2 linked regions of the Schizosaccharomyces pombe genome follow. Changing the gene in region 2 together with the main gene of any one other region gives a genetic interaction. Each region holds a gene or a part of one and is shown on either strand. Other genes may lie near its edges.

What was found. Genes that interact genetically often act in the same process or in processes that back each other up.
Region 1: mutations in gpt1 (region 2) and alg6 impair growth when combined (synthetic growth defect), as found in Schizosaccharomyces pombe (2 studies listed by BioGRID).

Annotation. Positions count from the first base shown.
Region 1 is NC_003423.3:4,194,685-4,203,408, forward strand, and holds alg6 (glucosyltransferase Alg6), read right to left. Parts: upstream 7,187-8,724; 5' UTR 7,019-7,186; coding exon 5,823-7,018; intron 5,775-5,822; coding exon 5,651-5,774; intron 5,593-5,650; coding exon 5,392-5,592; 3' UTR 5,064-5,391; downstream 1-5,063. Other genes in the region: Rho-type GTPase-activating protein Rga1, read left to right, coding at 1,611-5,063. UniProt on the Schizosaccharomyces pombe protein: Probable dolichyl pyrophosphate Man9GlcNAc2 alpha-1,3-glucosyltransferase that operates in the biosynthetic pathway of dolichol-linked oligosaccharides, the glycan precursors employed in protein asparagine (N)-glycosylation.
Region 2 is NC_003423.3:702,229-713,617, forward strand, and holds gpt1 (UDP-glucose--glycoprotein glucosyltransferase Gpt1), read left to right. Parts: upstream 1-5,285; 5' UTR 5,286-5,359; coding exon 5,360-9,706; 3' UTR 9,707-10,198; downstream 10,199-11,389. Other genes in the region: cop1 (coatomer alpha subunit protein), read left to right, coding at 1-3,285; SPOM_SPBPJ4664.05 (uncharacterized protein), read left to right, coding at 3,704-3,849, 3,913-4,438; 19S proteasome regulatory subunit Rpn3, read left to right, coding at 10,284-10,302, 10,349-10,444, 10,489-11,389.

The sequences.
Region 1 (8,724 bases), 3.5 Mb from region 2:
TTTTCTTTATTTCCTTCTCATTTTTTAGATAAAAAAATTTTCTGTTGCATTACATGAAATATAAATGCTTATGATGATTATTCGACTTTAATACATTTATCAAAGGCCTTTACCCACAAATCTTTTGTAAGTAACCGTTTCGATTAACCTCTTGGAACAGATATCTATTGTTTGTTTACTGAATTTACAACCTTCACTTGTTATTGCTCAAACCATCACAATTGATCATTTCTGATTATTTTCTTACATAAATTAATGCTCATTTTCTCTTTGATTTTTCTTAAGTGCTAATCCTTTAACTTATTAACCGCGGTAACTCATAAAGCTGATCTACTTCATGAATTCGTAAACTATTTCTTCTGAGATAATAAATACCCGTAGTTTTTTAACGAAATTTGCTCATGACTCAGTGACGAATAGTAGTTTTGAAGCTGTAAAGGATTTGAGGTCCATTGTTAGTATAATAATACACAACTTTTTACAGACGAAAGTAGCTTCAAGCAACAAATCGAATAAGGATTCAGAATTCGAATCAATTGTGTGGAAGTTTGTGCAACTAAGGGTCGTAAAAGAAGATGTAAACTCTGAATTAGCACAACATAGGACCTTAGCGTTCAGTCTGTGAAGAAGCCAAAATGATGCAAGTTAAGCAAAACAAAAAGCAGTTATGAAACTACTCAAAAATGCTCGAATGCCTTTGGTTTCCTTTTTCTCATAAAAAAATAATCGTTATATTATGATAATTCAGTATAGAAGCAACTGTCAGAAATAAAAATAAAAAATTCTGCATGTATTTTTAAGATAATGTATTAAGTGATTTGAGTTTTTATAAACTCCATTTATTTTATCTGAATTCAACCCTACTGAACTTGCAAGACGTACGTAGTCTGGGAAACACAGTGGGAAAGTACTTAAATACTTTTTGGGAAACTTGAACAGGTAGTTAAAATCAAAGTCACTCATATTGTCTATGATAATTTCAAACATCTATAAGGACTCTTGTTATAACATAGACTTCGTAAATGTGTAAAAGCCTTAGCATGAGCAGCGAGCAGCTCTAGTATAATAGTCGTTGTAAAATTCAGTGCCTAAACCTACACCTAAGAATAACTATCCAAAAGGAGCATAAAGTGTAGCATTAAAGAGAGATAAAACAAAAATACAGATTATTCTCTAAACGAAGATCTAAAGTCATTTTCGGGGTGTGTACTGAAATCGGTTTCCCAAATGACTTCATGTCTTAGTCGCTATAAAAATTAGGGTCTATTTTGGCCCCTATATCAAGCTGGAGTTTAGCATTTCTGACTTGGATTCCATGGTGTGCAGTCTCCTCTTAGGTGGAAGTCGGACCAACAACCACCAACATACCGCAACAATAGTTAGTCTCTGAAAAAAAATAGCTTCAAAAGCTATAGGCTTAGTTATTTGAGGTCTTACATATTATTAATTTCACTCTTTTAAAAACTGAAGGAATTGAGTCCCATAAGGTTTTCTTGGGGGTGATTTTCGAACGGAAATATCCCAAAGAGGATTAACTAGTCATACTGGTTTATTAAGTGATAAAGGCGTTTAATATAGAAGCTAAGGTTCGTTCAAACAGCAAGGACAGTATGTCCCAAAGGGACGCCAAAAAAGATGGGTTGCTGTACACAACGAATGGTGTATCACCAACACCACCGAAACGAATTCCTGTTCCTTCCCGTCAAAATAAGATAGAAGAGAATTCTACAACGAAGAATTTCCCCCATTCTCGACATACAAGCACTGTTGCTGGTACTGAGGGTGGCAGCTCACTTTCTCGGAGGCATACCTCTGCTGAGTCTCGAAAAGCGTTGCCTAATCAGCAACAATTAGCCCAATCTGGTTTGCTTAATAAAGAGGAGCAGCAAAGTCTAAAGCGATCAGATACTTCTGTATTTCCTAAGGCTGTAAGGAAAGTTTCTTCATCAAAGATATGTGCTTCATGTGGACAAGTTATATCCGGACAATATGTACGTGCTCTTGGAAATATATATCACTTAGAATGTTTTCGATGCCATGATTGTAATTCTTTAGTTGCTTCAAAATTTTTTCCTATTGATGATCCCACTCTTAACAAGCAAGTGCCTTTATGTGAAACAGATTATTTTCGGCGGCTTGACTTACTTTGTGCAAGTTGTGGAATGGCCCTTCGAGGTTATTATATTACAGCTTTGAATAAAAAATTTCATATAGAACATTTCACTTGTTCCTTATGTTACACTGTTTTTGGTCCGAATGATTCTTACTATGAATATGAGGGCAAAGTGTATTGTCATTATCATTATTCAACACTTTTCGCTGCACGATGTTGCGGTTGTGATGGTCCAATTTTAAGGCAATTTGTTGAAGTTTACAGAAATGGGGTATCTCAAAATTGGCACGTTCCTTGTCATATGATCTACAAGTTTTGGAATGTTAAACTTTGTCAAAAGACATCCATAGAAACTTCTAAAAAGAAGGATTCTGAGCTTTCTCAATCACAATTACGCAAACGGGAAAAACATTTAGAACAGAAAATATTTCATATTTGGCATGCACTCTCTTATTTTGAGGAGTATACAGCTTCGTGTATCAGTGATATGCTTCTCCTTGTTTCAAATGGAGAATTCACAAAAAGTGTTATTTGTGCCCAAAAATTTATTCGTTATATCGAGATACTTTTTAAAGGCATTGATTCGCTAGAAACTATACTTTCAAGTTTTCATGCTAAAAGTATGCCTTATGTTCGTGAAGCTAAGTTGCTTTGCAAGAAGCTAGTTTCAATATTTGCTTTACTTGCTAAATGCCATAATTCGGATATTCGCGACGTTGCTATTGTTCAAGACTTTTTATCACTCTTTACCGGTTTAGCTCATTACCTCAAGTTACTTATTCGGATATCGCTTACGGGAGGTTTACGACTAGAACAAGATCATGCTTGTAAGCATGCTCTTCCCCAGTTTTTACAGACCGTAGAAGAAGCTCGATTTGTCGATCAAGAAGGATATGATAGTTCTTCGTTTGATATGCCTTTAAATTTGGCCAATGCCAGCTCCGATTTATGCTATGTGTGTCATTCTGCCTTGGAGGAAGACTGTGTTCTCCTGGGTGAAATTCGCTGCCATATTGGCTGTTTGTCATGTACTAAATGTAAATACAACAATCGGGAGAATTACGATTGGGCGCGCTGGAACAACCAAACGAAACAAATAGAATGTTATTTATGTTATACTGAATCATCCAACGTTAGTAACGACGAACCTCATCCGTCTTTTGAGTATGTGAGCAGGCTTTCTCAATATATTTACTTGCTACGTATTGCCTTGGTTCGATTATATACTATACTTATGGAGAATAACGACTCATCACAGCGAAAGCCGTTATCTGTTGATCCAAAACAAGAGAATGTATCCAGTACTGTTGAAACAGCGAAACAAGCCGAGACTACTGCCAGTTCAGACAGTTTTCGTAAGTATGCCAATACTCTTAATGATTTGCGACATCTTAAGTCTTCCCGCAATCGTAAGGCCACCTCAAATGAAACCCAGTCCTCAAGCAATTCTACCGAAACATCTAAATTATCAAAGAATGTGTCAGAGTCTGGAAAAGACAAAAGTCCCCATTGGCATTCTCATGGTGGTTCTATTACTGGAAAAAGCATAGTTGAGCAAGCATCTAGTCCTTTGGAAAGAAGGATGGATGCCTTTGATGAAAATCGTGCTTTTACTCTTGATGATATTCCTAAAGTCATTTCAGAACAAAGAAACAGGGAACACCGACCAAATGCATTTAGGCATATGCCCAGTTATACTGATCCTTCCTATCGAAAGAATTCTGGGGCGATTTATGATAAAAATGATGGTACGCAAAAGGGTTTGACTCCTAAATCAGAAGATGCTCCTATTCGTTATCTCTCAGATCTTTCTAATTTAGAATTATTATTTACCAAGCACGTAGCTGTATTAATATTGCACCCTCTTGTACGGGATTATTATTCACTTGATGAATTGATGGAAATGAGCGATTTGCGCAAAGGTGGTTTCTGGGAAAAATTTGGAAAGGCTTTCAAGGGGAAAGATGCCGAAAAAAAGAACGTGAAAAAGAAAGGTACCTTTGGGGTGCCATTGGAGATTCTTGTTGAGCGTAATAACGCTCAGTCGACGGTTGGAACAGGCGTGGGTGTCAAGCATATTCCTGCCTTTATTGGGAATACATTGGCTGCTATGAAAAGAAAAGATATGTCAGTAGTTGGTGTATTTAGAAAGAACGGAAATATACGTAGGTTAAAAGAGCTATCTGACATGCTCGATGTTTCTCCGGATTCAATTGATTATGAGCAAGAAACACCCATTCAGTTGGCTGCTTTATTGAAAAAATTCCTTAGAGAGCTTCCTGATCCTCTTTTAACTTTCAAGTTATTTGGGTTGTTCATTACGTCTTCAAAGTTGGAGTCTGAGGAAGAACGCATGAGGGTTTTGCATCTTACAATATGTTTACTACCCAAGGGACATAGAGACACTATGGAGGTAATTTTTGGCTTTCTATATTGGGTTGCCTCTTTTTCCCACATCGATGATGAGGTGGGAAGCAAAATGGATATTCATAATCTTGCTACCGTAATTACTCCGAACATATTATATTCCAAAAGCAACGATCCTGTTGACGAAAGTTTCCTTGCCATCGAGGCTGTTCATCTGTTGATTGAGAACTTTGAGAAATTTTGTGAAGTCCCTCGAGAAATTAGTCTTTTATTAGATGATCCTACTCTTTTTTATAATAATGCGGCTTGGACATCTAAAGAACTATATAAAAGGTGTGAAGAAATAATTTCTCAGATGAGTCTTGACGAACGGAATACTCCAAAACATACGGCGTCTACAAAGAGGAAAAGGCAACCTATAAGAAGAGTTACAACTAATTTAACGTCAGACGTGCCTTCTGGTTCTGAAGTTGCTGACACAAATTCGCTTTCATCTACCACTAAAGATGAAGCTTCACCTAACAGCGATGCTCAGCCTAAACCTCAAGTTAAACCTCAGCATGCAGTCATTAGGGATTCCTAATTTATCGATACACAATCCCATTTGTCTTTTTTTGTTTTATCATATTTTCAATTTTTACTGAACATTAGATCAGCTACGAAAGTAGAAAGCTCGGTCTGGTACCGCTTACAACTTTGTCGTGTTGAATTCGATGGGATGATGGTACTTTAATAATCGTTCTTTTAATAAAAGGTTACTTGGCTAAAATAATATTTCAGGCAAATATAACTTTCGTTTAATATTTGAAGTCATGAATAACAATCCTTCTCCCAGAATTGTTTTAATAAAATCCTTTACTATATGTTGATTTTTCCGCGTAATAATGTAACATAAAATCATTTTGTTCAATTTATGCTTCTTTTTTGTTACGCAAATCAGTAGAAAGTTTACTTGAAATGTGTAGCAAGCGACCAAGAGTCCATAAGTAAATAGTAAAAAATCCGGCAAATGAAAGCGTAACATTAAGAATGACCCATAAATCGGGGTAACGGGATGGTGGTGGGATAAACAGATCAATTCCCAAAATAACAATCATACCAACATAAAAAGACTGCATCCAGTTAATACACCTGGCATAAAAAAATAGCAAATAATAAAAATAGTCTTACCAGTTGGATGAACCGAAAAAGGACGTTTTTTGAGAAAACTACCATGTCACCAATCCAATTCCACATTAATACTAATGTGAAGTATTGTAAACCAAGACCATCTTTTTTCAGTAACGGCCATAAGCTAATAAAAATATTAGTATAATTTAAACAGTAAATATGTATATTTTACCTGAAAACAGCAAGATTGTTTGCTAGAGCAATCCATGGTTTGGTTGTAATGTTTCCGTGACATAAGAGAATAGAAGTGGGAAGTAAAGGAAGAAGAACCGACTTTTCATGAACTTGGAAAGAGAACAAAAAAAACCCCCATGATGCACTTGCGAAACCCAGAGCTAAAAGACGTTTACGAGGATAAAGAAATAATATAACACAAGATGGGAGAATAGAAATGAGAGTAAAAATCAAGCTAATTACTTGGAGTTGATGTAAAGTAAACACCTCTCTAATTTTGAAAACAGTGTTGAGGGTGCACCAGAAATTAGCAACTTTATCTTCCCAAAGACCACGAGCAAACGGGAACACTCGATGAAGAATTTGAGGAAGCAATGTTTTATAGTCCATGTAAATCCATGGAAATAATATTAAGGAAAACGTAAAAACAACTGTGACTGACAACAAGATAAATCTTGAGAAACGAATCTTTGGCTTTACACAAGTTCCCAATAAGTAAAAAAAAATAGGAGGAGCAAAATATAGAGCCATCTGTTTAAACGTAAGAGCTAAACAGAAAAAAAACGTAGCAGCTACATATTGGTTTTTAAGCAAATTAGCGATTGCATACATAACTAAACCCAGCATAACACAGTTGTACTGAAAATGACCATGATCAATTAAGAGTAAAGCAGGTTGAAAAAGGACCATAATTAGGCTAGCATTTCTGTCCACAAAATTAGGTATACGGCGCGACCACCATTTGGAGTAAAACATTAAAGGGGGAACGAGTATTAGAAGATGAGATGCAATAACAGTAGATCTCATGAATAATTTTAATTCAAGACTTTCAAATCCACGAGATGTGACATCAGCAAACCATTCGGGGTTGAAAAAATAATGCCCAATTATACCAAAGAACCAAGAAACATATGCTGTTAAAGGAGGATAATCTAATCCCCACCATTGCAAATCTCTAAAATACCATTGAGACACAGGAGTATGCAATGTTAGTTCCATCCAATGTCTTTGCGCTTCAAAATCGCCATACATAGGAGGTGTATTATACCCAGAATAAGGACCGATAGATATAAGCCATTGCATGAAAACTAAACTCATTATAAGGCATGGAAAAAATAAAAATTTAGATGAATAGGATCGAAAACGAGAAACGAATTGTTGAACGGGAGCCCCATTCTCAAACTCAGATAGCATGTTTTAAGCGGCCGTCAAACGGTAAGGATTTCGCTTTAAAACTTTGGGTTTCTAAATTAAAATATCCAACTTGGAAAGCTTAAAGATTAAAAAACGAGTGAATTTGTATCCGGAATGTTTTAAACAAGGAAAAGCTAATTCAAAGCAGATACAAGTTGGGATAACAGTGAAATGGGTTGGGAACCACGAAGTGGACTATGGGTCCACCATTGCGATCATCGTGAAATATGGTTTTATAATGTCCAAAAAAATCAATTCACTTTTTAATTCATTCTTTCTTTCTTATTTTTTATTTTCAGTTTCAAAGCCTAAAAATTAAATACGCGCAAAGTTATCACTACATAATTGATCCAAGGGTGAGCAATAACATAAAAAATGAGTTGATAAACATGAAAATTAAGCTGTATCACTTATTGACTGATTTACTTTTCTCTTAAGATAGGTAAATGTTAGAATAAATTGAGCTTGGCAAGTTAGGAGTTTGTTTCAGTGATACTAGCCCATTAAATTCAATGAACTGAAATATATTACTTAATTGTTTGCTGTTTAATAATTTAGCTCTAACGAAAATCTTATTAGCAAAGAACATGCTAAGAAAAATAATTCCCTTAATACATTTACTATGTAATTGATCTCGAATTTGTAGCTGCAATTAAGAGCTTTGAAATTTTAAAAGTCTTTTCGTTCATGATAATTTCTAAAGAAAACCCTTGTTGGGCTAAAAAAAAAAGCGACGGTTTGACGAAAAATCATGCTTTTAAAACCAGAATTCATAATAATATTGTAAAATTATTTCTTGGTCTGTTACAGTTTTAAGTAAAAGCAAGCATTATCCTAATATTTTCTTTTTGCGTTGATGGAACACTGTGAAATCTCCATTATTTGTATAATTTTAAGCGATATTTACTAATCATATGTTTAGTTTAATTTTTTGTAAAACGATTTGAAATAGAAACTGAAGTTGTATAGTTACTAACATTATTTGCATTCTCGCATTGTTTGTATATTGTTTACTCTTCAGAATAATTTCAATATTTATGCTTAAGCTAAATGAAATATTTTCAAGGACTCACAAATAGTTATTTATATATTTTATGAAAATTTAAAACCTAATTAGATTAAATTTAATTAAAATACCCAAAAGTACATTCGTTTGAGAAGAGATACCAGATTGAATGAATAAAAACATACTAACTGCTTGGCGGGCAAATGAAATTCATTTGTACACTACAGTGGTTGATGCTGTTTTTAAAATCTAAACTTTTATAGCAATAAAGAATCATCCTCCCTTGAGTATTAAAGTGAAAGCAAAAAAGCCTTACTAGGCAAGAGCTTAGAACCGATAAACAACTATTCATTTAAAGGAAAAAAACAAAGATTCGGAAAGCATTTTGCGTTCTCTATTTTTTTAAAAAAAATTAAAAATATCTCAAAAGCGCAAAAGTGTGAATTCCTGTTTTAATTTTCAAACCGTAAACAAAATGTTTTAAATTTTAATTTAATACTGAAACTACTTTTATTAACTTAACGATTTTTAAGATTAGTTCCCTACTCCGCTGTTATGCAGATTAACGCAATGATAGGAGCTTATCACATGAATTGAAAGATAATAACAGCTTTATTAAAAACTTAACCGTACCCTCTCATTTTTCATCGCGTTTGCTGTTATTGCAATACTTATACATTTTTTGGAGGGAAGTTTTATT
Region 2 (11,389 bases):
TCCGATGATCAGACGATTCGTATTTGGAATTGGCAATCCCGCAACTGTATCGCTATATTAACTGGCCATTCTCACTATGTTATGTGTGCTGCCTTTCATCCTTCTGAGGATCTGATTGTTAGTGCCAGTTTGGATCAAACAGTTCGCGTTTGGGACATTAGCGGTCTTCGCATGAAGAATGCAGCTCCGGTTAGTATGTCGCTTGAAGATCAGCTAGCTCAGGCCCACAACTCGATTTCTAATGACTTATTTGGTAGCACAGATGCTATCGTAAAATTTGTTTTAGAAGGTCATGATCGAGGCGTGAACTGGTGCGCTTTCCATCCAACTCTTCCTTTAATCCTCTCTGCTGGCGATGATCGACTTGTAAAATTATGGCGTATGACTGCTTCTAAAGCTTGGGAGGTTGATACGTGTCGTGGCCATTTTAATAATGTTTCTTGCTGCTTGTTCCACCCACATCAAGAGCTCATATTGTCAGCCAGTGAAGACAAAACTATTCGTGTTTGGGATTTGAATAGAAGAACCGCCGTTCAAACTTTCCGTCGCGATAACGACCGTTTTTGGTTTATTACTGTTCATCCCAAATTGAATTTATTTGCAGCTGCTCATGATAGTGGTGTTATGGTTTTCAAGCTGGAACGTGAGCGCCCTGCACATGCGCTTAATATCAATACTCTTCTTTATGTCAATAAGGAGAAGTCAATTGTTTCTTATGATCTTTTACGCGCACAAAGTACTACTGTCGCTTCTGTTAAGCACTTGGGAAGCGCATGGCTACCTCCTCGTTCTTTGTCTTACAACCCCGCTGAGAAAGTTGCTCTTCTTACTTCTTCTGCTGATAATGGCGTTTATGAACTTGTTAATGTATCATCACGGTCTAATTCCTTGCCTTTGAAGGATAACATTAAGGGTCCCGGAGATGATGCGATTTTTGTAGCACGTAATCGTTTTGCTGTCTTTTCTCGAAGCGACCAAACCATCGAGATTAAGGATCTTTCGAATAAAGTTACAAAGACCATTCAGCTTCCTGAGAAAACAAGAGACATTTTCTTTGCTGGAATGGGTCATGTGCTCTTATCTACCGCTACCCAAGTTCATTTGTTTGATCTTCAACAAAAGAAAATTGTTTCATCTTTTAATGCCAACCGCGTAAAGTATGTTGTATGGTCAAATGATAATTCGCAGGCTGCTCTATTAGGAAAGCATTACGTGTACATTGTGAAGAAAAACTTGGAATTAATTACCTCTATTCATGAAACCATTCGCATTAAAAGTGCTGTTTGGGTAGAGAATAACGTTTTACTTTATGCTACTTTAGACCATCTTAAATATGCATTAATGTCTGGTGATACAGGTGTCATAAAAACTCTGGAATCTACTTTGTATTTGGTCAAAGCAAAAGGAAATATGGTTTTTGCTCTCAATCGTGCTGCTGAACCCGTTAGTTTTGAAATAGATCCCACTGAATATTTGTTCAAATTAGCCTTGTTAAGAAAGGATTACGAACAAGTTCTTCATTTAATTCAAAATTCTAACCTCGTTGGTCAGGCTATTATAGCTTATCTTCAGAAGAAGGGTTATCCTGAAATCGCTTTACAATTCGTTGAGGATCCATCCACCCGATTTGAATTGGCATTAGAGTGCGGAAACTTGGAAACTGCTTTAGAGCTTGCCCGTACGATTGACCGACCTGAGGTTTGGTCTCGTTTAGCTTCCGACGCTATGTCTTATGGCAACCACAAAATTGCAGAAATTACCTTTCAGAAACTCCGTTATTTTGAAAAACTTTCTTTCCTTTATTTGATTACTGGCAATGCTGAGAAGCTTCAAAAAATGGCAATAATTGCCGAAAAAAGGAATGATACCCTAAGTCTGTTTCAAAACAGTCTCTATTTAAATGAAGTGGAATCTCGTATAAATATCTTAGAGCAGGCTGGAATGTATCCTATCGCTTATCTTACCGCAAAATCTAACGGTCTTGAAGAGAAAGCCCAGCAAATACTATCACATTGCAATAAGACTGAAGAGGAAATTAAATTGCCATCTCTCGGTTCAGCATTCACGACTCCTGTACCCGTTAACGAAACATACACCCATAATTGGCCTTTGCTCGACACCTCTCATTCTACCTTCGAAAAATCACTACAAGAGAGGATGGAGCAACTTGCAATTGAAAGACAAGAGGAACAAGAATCTGAAGAAGAGTATGAAGAAGTTGAGCAAAGTCTTATGGATGTTGTTGATGAAATGAGTGATTTGGCAGAAAGCGTTCCAGAGGAGGAAGTTGATGGATGGGAGGTCGAAGATTTGGCTCCTGAAGAAGCTGTTAACGATGTAGTTGATGACGCATCTGCATTTGTCGGTGCGGACGAAATTTTCTTGTGGAAAAGGAATTCCCCATTGGCAGCCGATCATATTGCTGCCGGTGATTTTGAAAGTGCTATGAAGATTTTAAACAAGCAAGTTGGAGCCATCAACTTTTCTCCTTTGAAAACTCGATTTTTAGAAATATACACTGCCTCCCGCGTATATTTACCTACTATAAGCGGCTTAGATCCTTTAGTTTCTTATGTTCGTAGAAACGCTGAGACTGCGGAACGTTCACAAGCCTTGCCATTCATTACCAGGAATCTTGCATCTATTAAATCGCACGAACTTCACGAAGCGTACCGTTTGGTGAAAGCTAATAAGATTCTGGAGGCACAAATTTGCTTCCGTAGTATCATTTACTTGGCCTTAACTACCGTAGCAAATTCGGAGGAAGAAGCAGATGAAATTTCTGCTTTAATAGATGAATGCTGTAGATATATAGTGGCATTATCGTGCGAGTTGGAGCGTCGACGTTTGGGAGAAGAGGATACAAAGCGTGCACTCGAGCTTTCTTATTACTTTGCTTCTGCGGACTTGCAACCTATGCACTCCATCATCGCCCTACGGTTGGCAATTAATGCTTCACATAAGCTGAAAAATTACAAATCCGCATCGTTTTTGGGAAATAAGCTATTGCAACTTGCTGAAAGTGGTCCTGCAGCTGAAGCAGCCAACCGCGCCATTACCTTAGGTGACCGAAACCCTCATGATGCCTTTGAAATCGAATATGATCCACACGTTGAAATGCGTATTTGTCCCAAGACTTTAACTCCTGTATATTCTGGAGATGATTTTGATGTTTGTTCCGTTTGCGGTGCCGTATATCATAAAGGCTATGTCAATGAAGTTTGTACGGTATGTGATGTCGGTGGTATCGGTCAAAAAGGTACTGGTAGAAGATTCTTTGCATAAGCATCTTTGAATTCAAACATGTCTAGTATAAAAGAAGCTACCACATTTTAGCATAGCTTTTTTCACAATGATCTCTCAAACAAATACCTACTTGCATACAGCACATTCTTGACCGTTGAAATTAGACGTTGTAAAACGGGGTCTGTCTTCACTTAACAATCACTATTTACGAAAATATTGCTATCCTTCTTTTTCTCTTTTTTTTACATTTTGCTGTATATTGATGCTAAATTAGATAGTTTCGTATCTAGACGATTTAATTCTTTGTAAGTTAAAACCATTATAAATTGTATTTCTTGTTTTATCATGTATGGGGATATTTGACCATTGGTGTGTCACTTGGTAGAAACGGACCTAAATCACACAACTTACCACTACCAAAACCGTAAGAAGCGTAGCGTTAAAATACCCAATTGATATGTCTTCGGCTATATCTCGTTCACGATTTAATTCTTTTATTTTGCATACAGTTGCGACAGCGAATTTGATATGGGCGTTTAACTGGATTAACCACAATAGCGATGTTGCTATTAGAAGGTCCTATGGTTCTCATTTTCAGCATTTGTAAGCGCATACGTCTGGCCTGATACCTTACTTAATATTACTGAATATTAACACTTTATGTAGAACTGTTTTGTCACTGGCCGTTACATTGTTGAGTATGGTAGTAGGATTATTTTCTGATATTTCTGGTTCCTTGACACTTGTAAAGCTAAAAAATATCCTTCTTTATATTGTTTGTCCACTGGAAACTATTGTTTCAATTTTGTATTGGTCTATAGTTTCTTATGATAGGTCTCTTTTAATCCCTAAAGATCGCCCTGTGCCTCTTCCTCTGAATTTTGATATTAGCGTACATTTAATGCCTACCGTTTATACACTTATCGATTACCTTTTTTTCTCACCGCCTTTTAGTTTGTCTATTGGTCCTTCTCTTCTTGTCTATCTGTCAATCGCAGTAAGTTACATGTTGTGGGTTGAGAAATGCTATCAAATGAACAAATTTTACGCTTATCCCATTCTTGCTATTTTGGATCCTATAAAGAAGACAATCTTTTATACTGTTGCGAGCATCATCTCGTTTTCTTGTTACATTGTTTTAAAGATGGTTCATCCGTACGCATTACCTTCTGGTGCACCTCCAAGATCCTAAATTAAGCAACATGGAAAGCAGTTATCGTAGGAAAGGAACAAAACTTCTTTGCTCTCTGAATTTACAAGGTCTTGCATTGACTGTTGTTTTTGATCGCCCCCATCTTTTGATATTCAGAGTGTGGACATCTGATGTCTGCTCCAACAGACGCGAAATTCATTTTCTTGGAATTTGGTCTTTTTTGATTTGAATTATTTAATAGTTTATTGCTCCATGAATGCAATATTGCACGTTTTCAGTTAAAAAGAGGTGTGCAACACTAACACGAACAAGTTGCTTTTCATTTTTATGACAAAATGACTACAGGGACTTTTTTTTCCCCATTTATTATTGATTATGTGCTAATCAATTATTTCATTATCACAACTATGGGTTACAATTAGAAACCTGTTGTAATAACAATAATTGTCTCACTGAAGTAATATAAGCTAATGATTATAAAATTTATCAATTGCATATACATTAAATAATTTAATTCATGGAACCAATTCATCTATGGTGATTATTTATCTGGTTTGCTGGATTGAAATGATTATTTTTAGCATTCTGGAATTTAGATCTTGTAAAACCTGTGTCAAGAATTTTTATTTTAACAAAATTCGTAATCAGTAATATGGAAAAGTCTTCCTACTTTCGAAGTTTGGATTTTTGTATAGCGCCTGACCAGTTACGAATACTTGCAAATTATTCCTTGGTAATTAATTAGTCATAGAACAAAATAGGAAGCCGAAGTAAGATTATAAATTAGATACAGCTTTAAATAGCTAATTATTATACCACTTGTTTACTGTTCTATCGATCAAGTAACTGTTCACGTAAATAGTCGCGTTAGTCCTCTCAACTACTTAGTTACTCCGCCAACTTCTTTTGTCGTCAAAAAAATAGCTAAACATTCCAAAAGCAAAAAGAGATAAGTATAAGATGAGATGGGGCTTTTGGTTTGCTATTGCAACTCTCATTACGATTTGCTATGCCGCCAAGCCTTTAGATGTCAAGATTGCTGCGACTTTTAACGCTCCTTCATTTTCTGCACTTATAGCTGAGTCATTGTATCAAGAGAAGAAGGAGGGATTCATTTGGTATTTAAATCACTTGAGCGATTTACTAGATGCTGAAAATACCACCGAAAAGGAGCTGTACATTAATGTTGTCAATTCACTTAAACGCGAGTATGTTCTTTCTGATGAAGAATTATCTTCCTTGCAGTTTTCTCTGGGATTGTTTTCTGGCGCACCAAAGTTACAAGCATTTTCAAGTATTGTTCAATCGCGCAGCTGTGATTGTGACACTTGGCTACAACTTGACGAAGAATCACAGGTTTGCTTTTCGGATTTGCCAAAGGACTCCCCATTGTTTAGCAAGCTGTACAGCAAAAATCCTCTAGATTACGAAGTTGTAAAAACCTCGGCTACTGGCATTCCGTACGCAGTGGTTGTAACTAGCTTCGAACGAGATCTTATTCCTTTTCACGAACTATATTACAAGCTGGCATTGGAAGGAAAGTGCAATTATGTTATAAGATATTCTCCTCCTTCTTCCTCGAAACTTAACTCCAAACTTTACGTTAAGGGCTTTGGTACCCATGTGTCATTGAAGCGCACAGATTACTTAGTTGTAGATGATCGCGAGTTTCCAAGGGAAAAGGGAGATAACCCAGCAAGTTTTACATCATCCCGCAACAAAAGATCAAATGAGAGACTATTTGGAATGACCTCCGACAGCCTACAAACTGTAACGCCTGATAAAATTGCAATACTTGATTTATTAGCTACACAAAGTATTGCTAGCAGTACTGACATGTTGACTGCTTTTCGAGAGCTTACACAAGATTTTCCTATTTATGCGCATTACCTTTCTATACAACCGGATGTTTCTAATGATTTAATCGAGGAACTGAACCAATTTCAATCGCAATATGTTCCTGAAGGCATTAATACGATTTGGTTGAATGGTTTATCTCTTGATTTAGAGGAAACGGATGCTTTTTCTATTCTCTCTTTAATTAAGAAAGAAAAAGATATGTTTGATAGATTTGAAGCTCTAGGGATTAAATCTTCGAAGGTCTTAGATATAGTCACTAATGAGGCTTTTGCTAACGAGGACTCAGATTTCAAGTTTGTTAAGTTTCATTGTCAAGACGATATAGAGGACTGGAAAGCCATACATTGGGTGAACGAAATAGAAAGCAACCCTAAGTATGACAATTGGCCCAAGAGTATACAAATTTTATTAAAACCTATCTATCCAGGACAGCTTCATATGCTCGGAAAACAACTGCATACTGTCATTTATCCTATTTTTCCTTCTTCTCCTTCATCGTTACCTCTTCTTTCCGAGCTTATTCAGTTTTCACGGCGCCCTTCGCCCGTTCAGACTGGTATGGTATGTGCTGCTAACGATGACGATGAATTTGCTCAAACTGTTTGCAAATCCTTTTTCTACATTTCGAAGGAGAGCGGAACTGACAGCGCTCTCAAATTTTTATATAAATGTTTGAACAGCGATTCTAGTGCTGATTTGTACTCCTTGCTTGAAGAGCATCTTCCATTAAGCGAGCATGATGATGATACTCTAGCTAATCTTAAAAAAGATCTTTCCTCATCTTTTTTTGACCACTATATGTCTAAGAGCAATAGCTGGGTTAATCGTTTAGGAATAGATTCTTCTGCATCAGAGGTCATAGTCAACGGCCGAATTATTTCTCATGATGAAAATTACGATAGGAGTATGTATGGGATATTTTTAGAAGATATCCCTGAAGTTCAAATTGCAGTTGCAGAAGGGAAGATTTCTGAAGATGATAATCTGTTAGATTTTATTTTGCGAGATGCTTCGTTAACGCGGAATCCTTTAGTTTACCCTTCCGCAAAATCTAGTATCAAGAGTATTGATATTAAACGGGTTTTGGAGAACGTTGGTAGTTTGAACCACGAAGATATTTTACTTATCGGCAGTTCTAATGCTAAATATTCATTCTGGCTAGTTGCTGATTTTAATGAAAAGGAAGGGCTTGAAATACTTTCATTACTTGCCGACCTTCTTTCGGAGAATAAAGATGCAAATCTTATGTTGATTCAGGAAGGAAAAAATCATGTTGTACCCCCTCTGTTTGCTAAACTGTTATCATCACCAAAGAGATCTAGTAAGCATTTACAAGAAATATTAAATTCCAGCCTCGATCCCAGTTCTGGCGTCGTTAACGATATGGATAAAGCATTGAAATTTCTAAAAAAATCGAAAGCCGTTGTTAAAGAGTTGGGTCTTACCGGTGAATGTAAATCTGCTTTGTTATTAAACGGACGGATGATTTGTTCTTTCTCAGTTGATAGTTTGAACACCGCTGACTTAAAAATGTTAATGCAAATGGAATACGATAATTATCTGTCAAAACTGTCAAACATTGCTGGAAGCTCAAGAAGGTTAAAAAACAGCCGTGCTATTTCATTCCTTAGCTCATATTTAAAAACGCTTGAATCTACACCCATGAGTACTTCTTCACCTACTAAGGAAGAAAAATTATTTCCTCGTGATTTTATCTACAATAAACTTGGTGTTGGAAATGCTACATTTGAAACTGACGATTTTTCAAAAGCTTATTATCAGTTTGTTGCAGTTTTAGATCCTCTTTCAAAAGATTCTCAAAAATGGTCAGCTATTCTTGAAGCAGTCTCAAAGTTGAACGGCGTAGGAGTTCGAATTCATTTCAATCCTAAACAAACTTTGTCTGAGCTTCCATTAACAAGGTTTTATCGATATTCAATTTCTGCGGAGCCAGAGTTTGATGCGCTTGGCCATTTAGAGGAGTCTTACGTAGAATTTGACAACTTACCGGCTGATACACTGCTTACAATGGACATTGAAGCTAGAGACGCATGGACAGTTATGCAAAAAGATGTGGACATTGATCTTTTCAACATAAAATTAGAGCACACTTCTGAAGCAGAGGCTTTGGACTCACATACAGCAATCTATGAACTTAAAAACATTTTGGTACAAGGTTACTCTCAAGAAGAATTCAGGAAAAGCCCACCGAGGGGTATGCAATTAAAGCTAGGCAACCTTACTAATTCCCATGTGACTGATACAATTGTATTATCAAATTTAGGATATTTTCAATTGAAGGCGAACCCAGGCGTATGGACTTTGGAACCTATGGATGGGCGGTCTTCTCAGTTTTATGAAATACTGTCGCTAAATAAGAAAAATTCCTATAAAGACCCTCAAGTAATTGTTGACAGTTTTGAAGGTGTCACCTTAAATCCGGTTATGCGACGTAAACCTGGTTTTGAGTCTGCCGACATTATGGATGAAGACCTTAGCTCCCATAAATTTTTCGATAAAATAAAAAAGTCTCTCAGCTTCTTTAATTTCAAACGTAAAGAAGCATCTATAAATATTTTTTCTGTTGCCAGCGGACACTTGTATGAAAGATTCTTATACATCATGACTAAGAGTGTAATTGAGCATACGGATAAAAAAGTCAAGTTCTGGTTTATTGAGAACTTTTTGTCCCCTTCTTTTAAAAGCTCTATTCCGGCCATTGCCAAAAAGTATAATTTCGAGTATGAGTATATTACTTACAATTGGCCACACTGGCTGAGAAAACAAGAAGAAAAGCAACGTGAGATATGGGGATACAAAATATTGTTCCTTGATGTTTTATTCCCTTTAGAATTGCATAAGGTTATCTATGTTGATGCCGATCAAATTGTGCGTGCTGACTTGCAGGAATTGATGGATATGGATTTACATGGTGCTCCATATGGGTATACACCCATGTGTGATTCTCGCGAAGAGATGGAAGGTTTTAGATTCTGGAAAAAAGGATACTGGAAAAAATTCTTACGTGGATTAAAATATCACATTAGTGCATTATATGTTGTAGACTTAGATCGTTTCAGGAAGATGGGTGCGGGTGATTTACTTCGCAGACAATACCAACTTTTGTCTGCCGATCCTAACTCCCTGTCTAATTTAGATCAAGATTTGCCAAATCACCTTCAACACCTTATTCCTATATACTCTCTTCCGCAAGATTGGCTTTGGTGTGAGACATGGTGCAGTGATGAAAGTTTGAAAACTGCCAAAACAATCGATTTATGTCAAAATCCTTTAACTAAAGAAAAGAAGCTGGATCGCGCACGTAGGCAAGTCTCTGAATGGACTTCATACGATAATGAGATAGCATCCGTATTGCAAACCGCCTCTAGTCAATCAGATAAAGAGTTTGAAGAAAAGGATAACAACTCATCTCCGGACGAACTTTGAAACATACTTTTCTTTTGCTTTCATATTATTTAATTCGTGATTGTACGCCTGAAATTTTATAATCGTTTTTCTAATTTACTTGCGAATTTGCATAAGTTAGAAGAGAAAAGAGTTAAAATCAAAATGTTTTAATGAATTGCTTGAATACTGAGAGTATTGGCTTTAGGGATTAAAAGGGGTCAAAATTAGTATATGTCGTCCGTTTGAAATGAGCTAGTCATGAGTTAATTTTTTCCTCCAATCTTGTTAGGACCATTTTGCTGGTGCATTCTACAAGTTGTATACAACGATTATGGTGCTAAGAAACAACTAATCGTGAGCAATGCTACGTTTATTGAATGTTTGTTGAAGACGCGTATTTTCATTTATTTAACTATTCGATACTATCTTCTACTTTGTTCAAACATTATTCGTCTATTATGCTGTAATAAATATTGCATTCAAAAGTCTTTACTAAATAGAACATTTAATATATTCGTGTTTATAATCATAGGGAGGAAGTATACAGCACAGTGAGTCGTAAGCTTAGGCATATGCCCTCCACTGAACGTAACCACTACCAAGTACCAGTATCAATATGATTGATGATCAGAGAGGTTTGTTATTGATGGGAAAGTTTTTGTATTTATTAACGTTAAAAAGATATGCAGGTTGATTCTGTAAACCAAGAAGAAAATGTTGATTCTGGTGAAACAAAACAGAACACTGTAACTGAAGTTCCAAGAACAGTTTTGCAAGGTGAGTTAATGCGTCAAAATTTATTTATTTCTAACAAGGATCAGATGTGGAAGCAAATATTGCTGCCTTAATGCAAGCCACCAAACAAAGAGATCCCAGACTTGTCTATCGATCATTAAGAACCACATCCAACATTTGCCATAGACTGAATGCGGATGTTTTAGGCCAGTTAATTAAGAAGTATTATTCTTTTGATAATTCTTTAAAAAATGAATTATTGGAACTTATTGATATGCCACAAAATGGTGATGATTCTTCCACTTCTATTACAAATGGAAATGGCAACACAATTTTTCCGGAAGTGGATATGTACTTACAACTGCTTCTTAGCATGACACTTTATTATAATGAAAAATATGAGGTAGGCGCTGAATATATTAAGAAGGTAATCGCCCGTTTGCAATCCTATGATCGACGAACCTTGGATCAAATTGCAGCCAAGTTATATTTCTATTACATACTATTCTTTGAAAAATGTAATAGGTCTGTAGAATGCAGGAACACTCTTTTGTCCGTTCATCGTACTGCATCTTTACGTCACGACTCTGAAACTCAAGCTATGGTTTTGACATTACTTCTTCGGAATTATATTCAGTTTAACCTATATGATCAAGCAGACCGTCTCGTTTCGAAAACATCCTTTCTTACGAATGCTAGTAATAACTTGGCAATTCGCTACCAATACTATTTGGGTCGAATTCGCGCCATTCAACTTGACTACACGACCGCTCATGAACATTTAGTTAGTGCTATACGTAAGGCTCCCAACACAGTATATGCCGTTCAATTTCTGGAAGCTGTTTACAAATTGCACATCGTCGTACAATTGCTTATGGGAGAAATTCCCGAACGCCGCATTTTCCGCCAAAAATCTCTCGAAAAAACTTTAGTGCCTTACTTACGTATTAGCCAGGCAGTTCGTATTGGTGACCTTTGTGCTTTCAC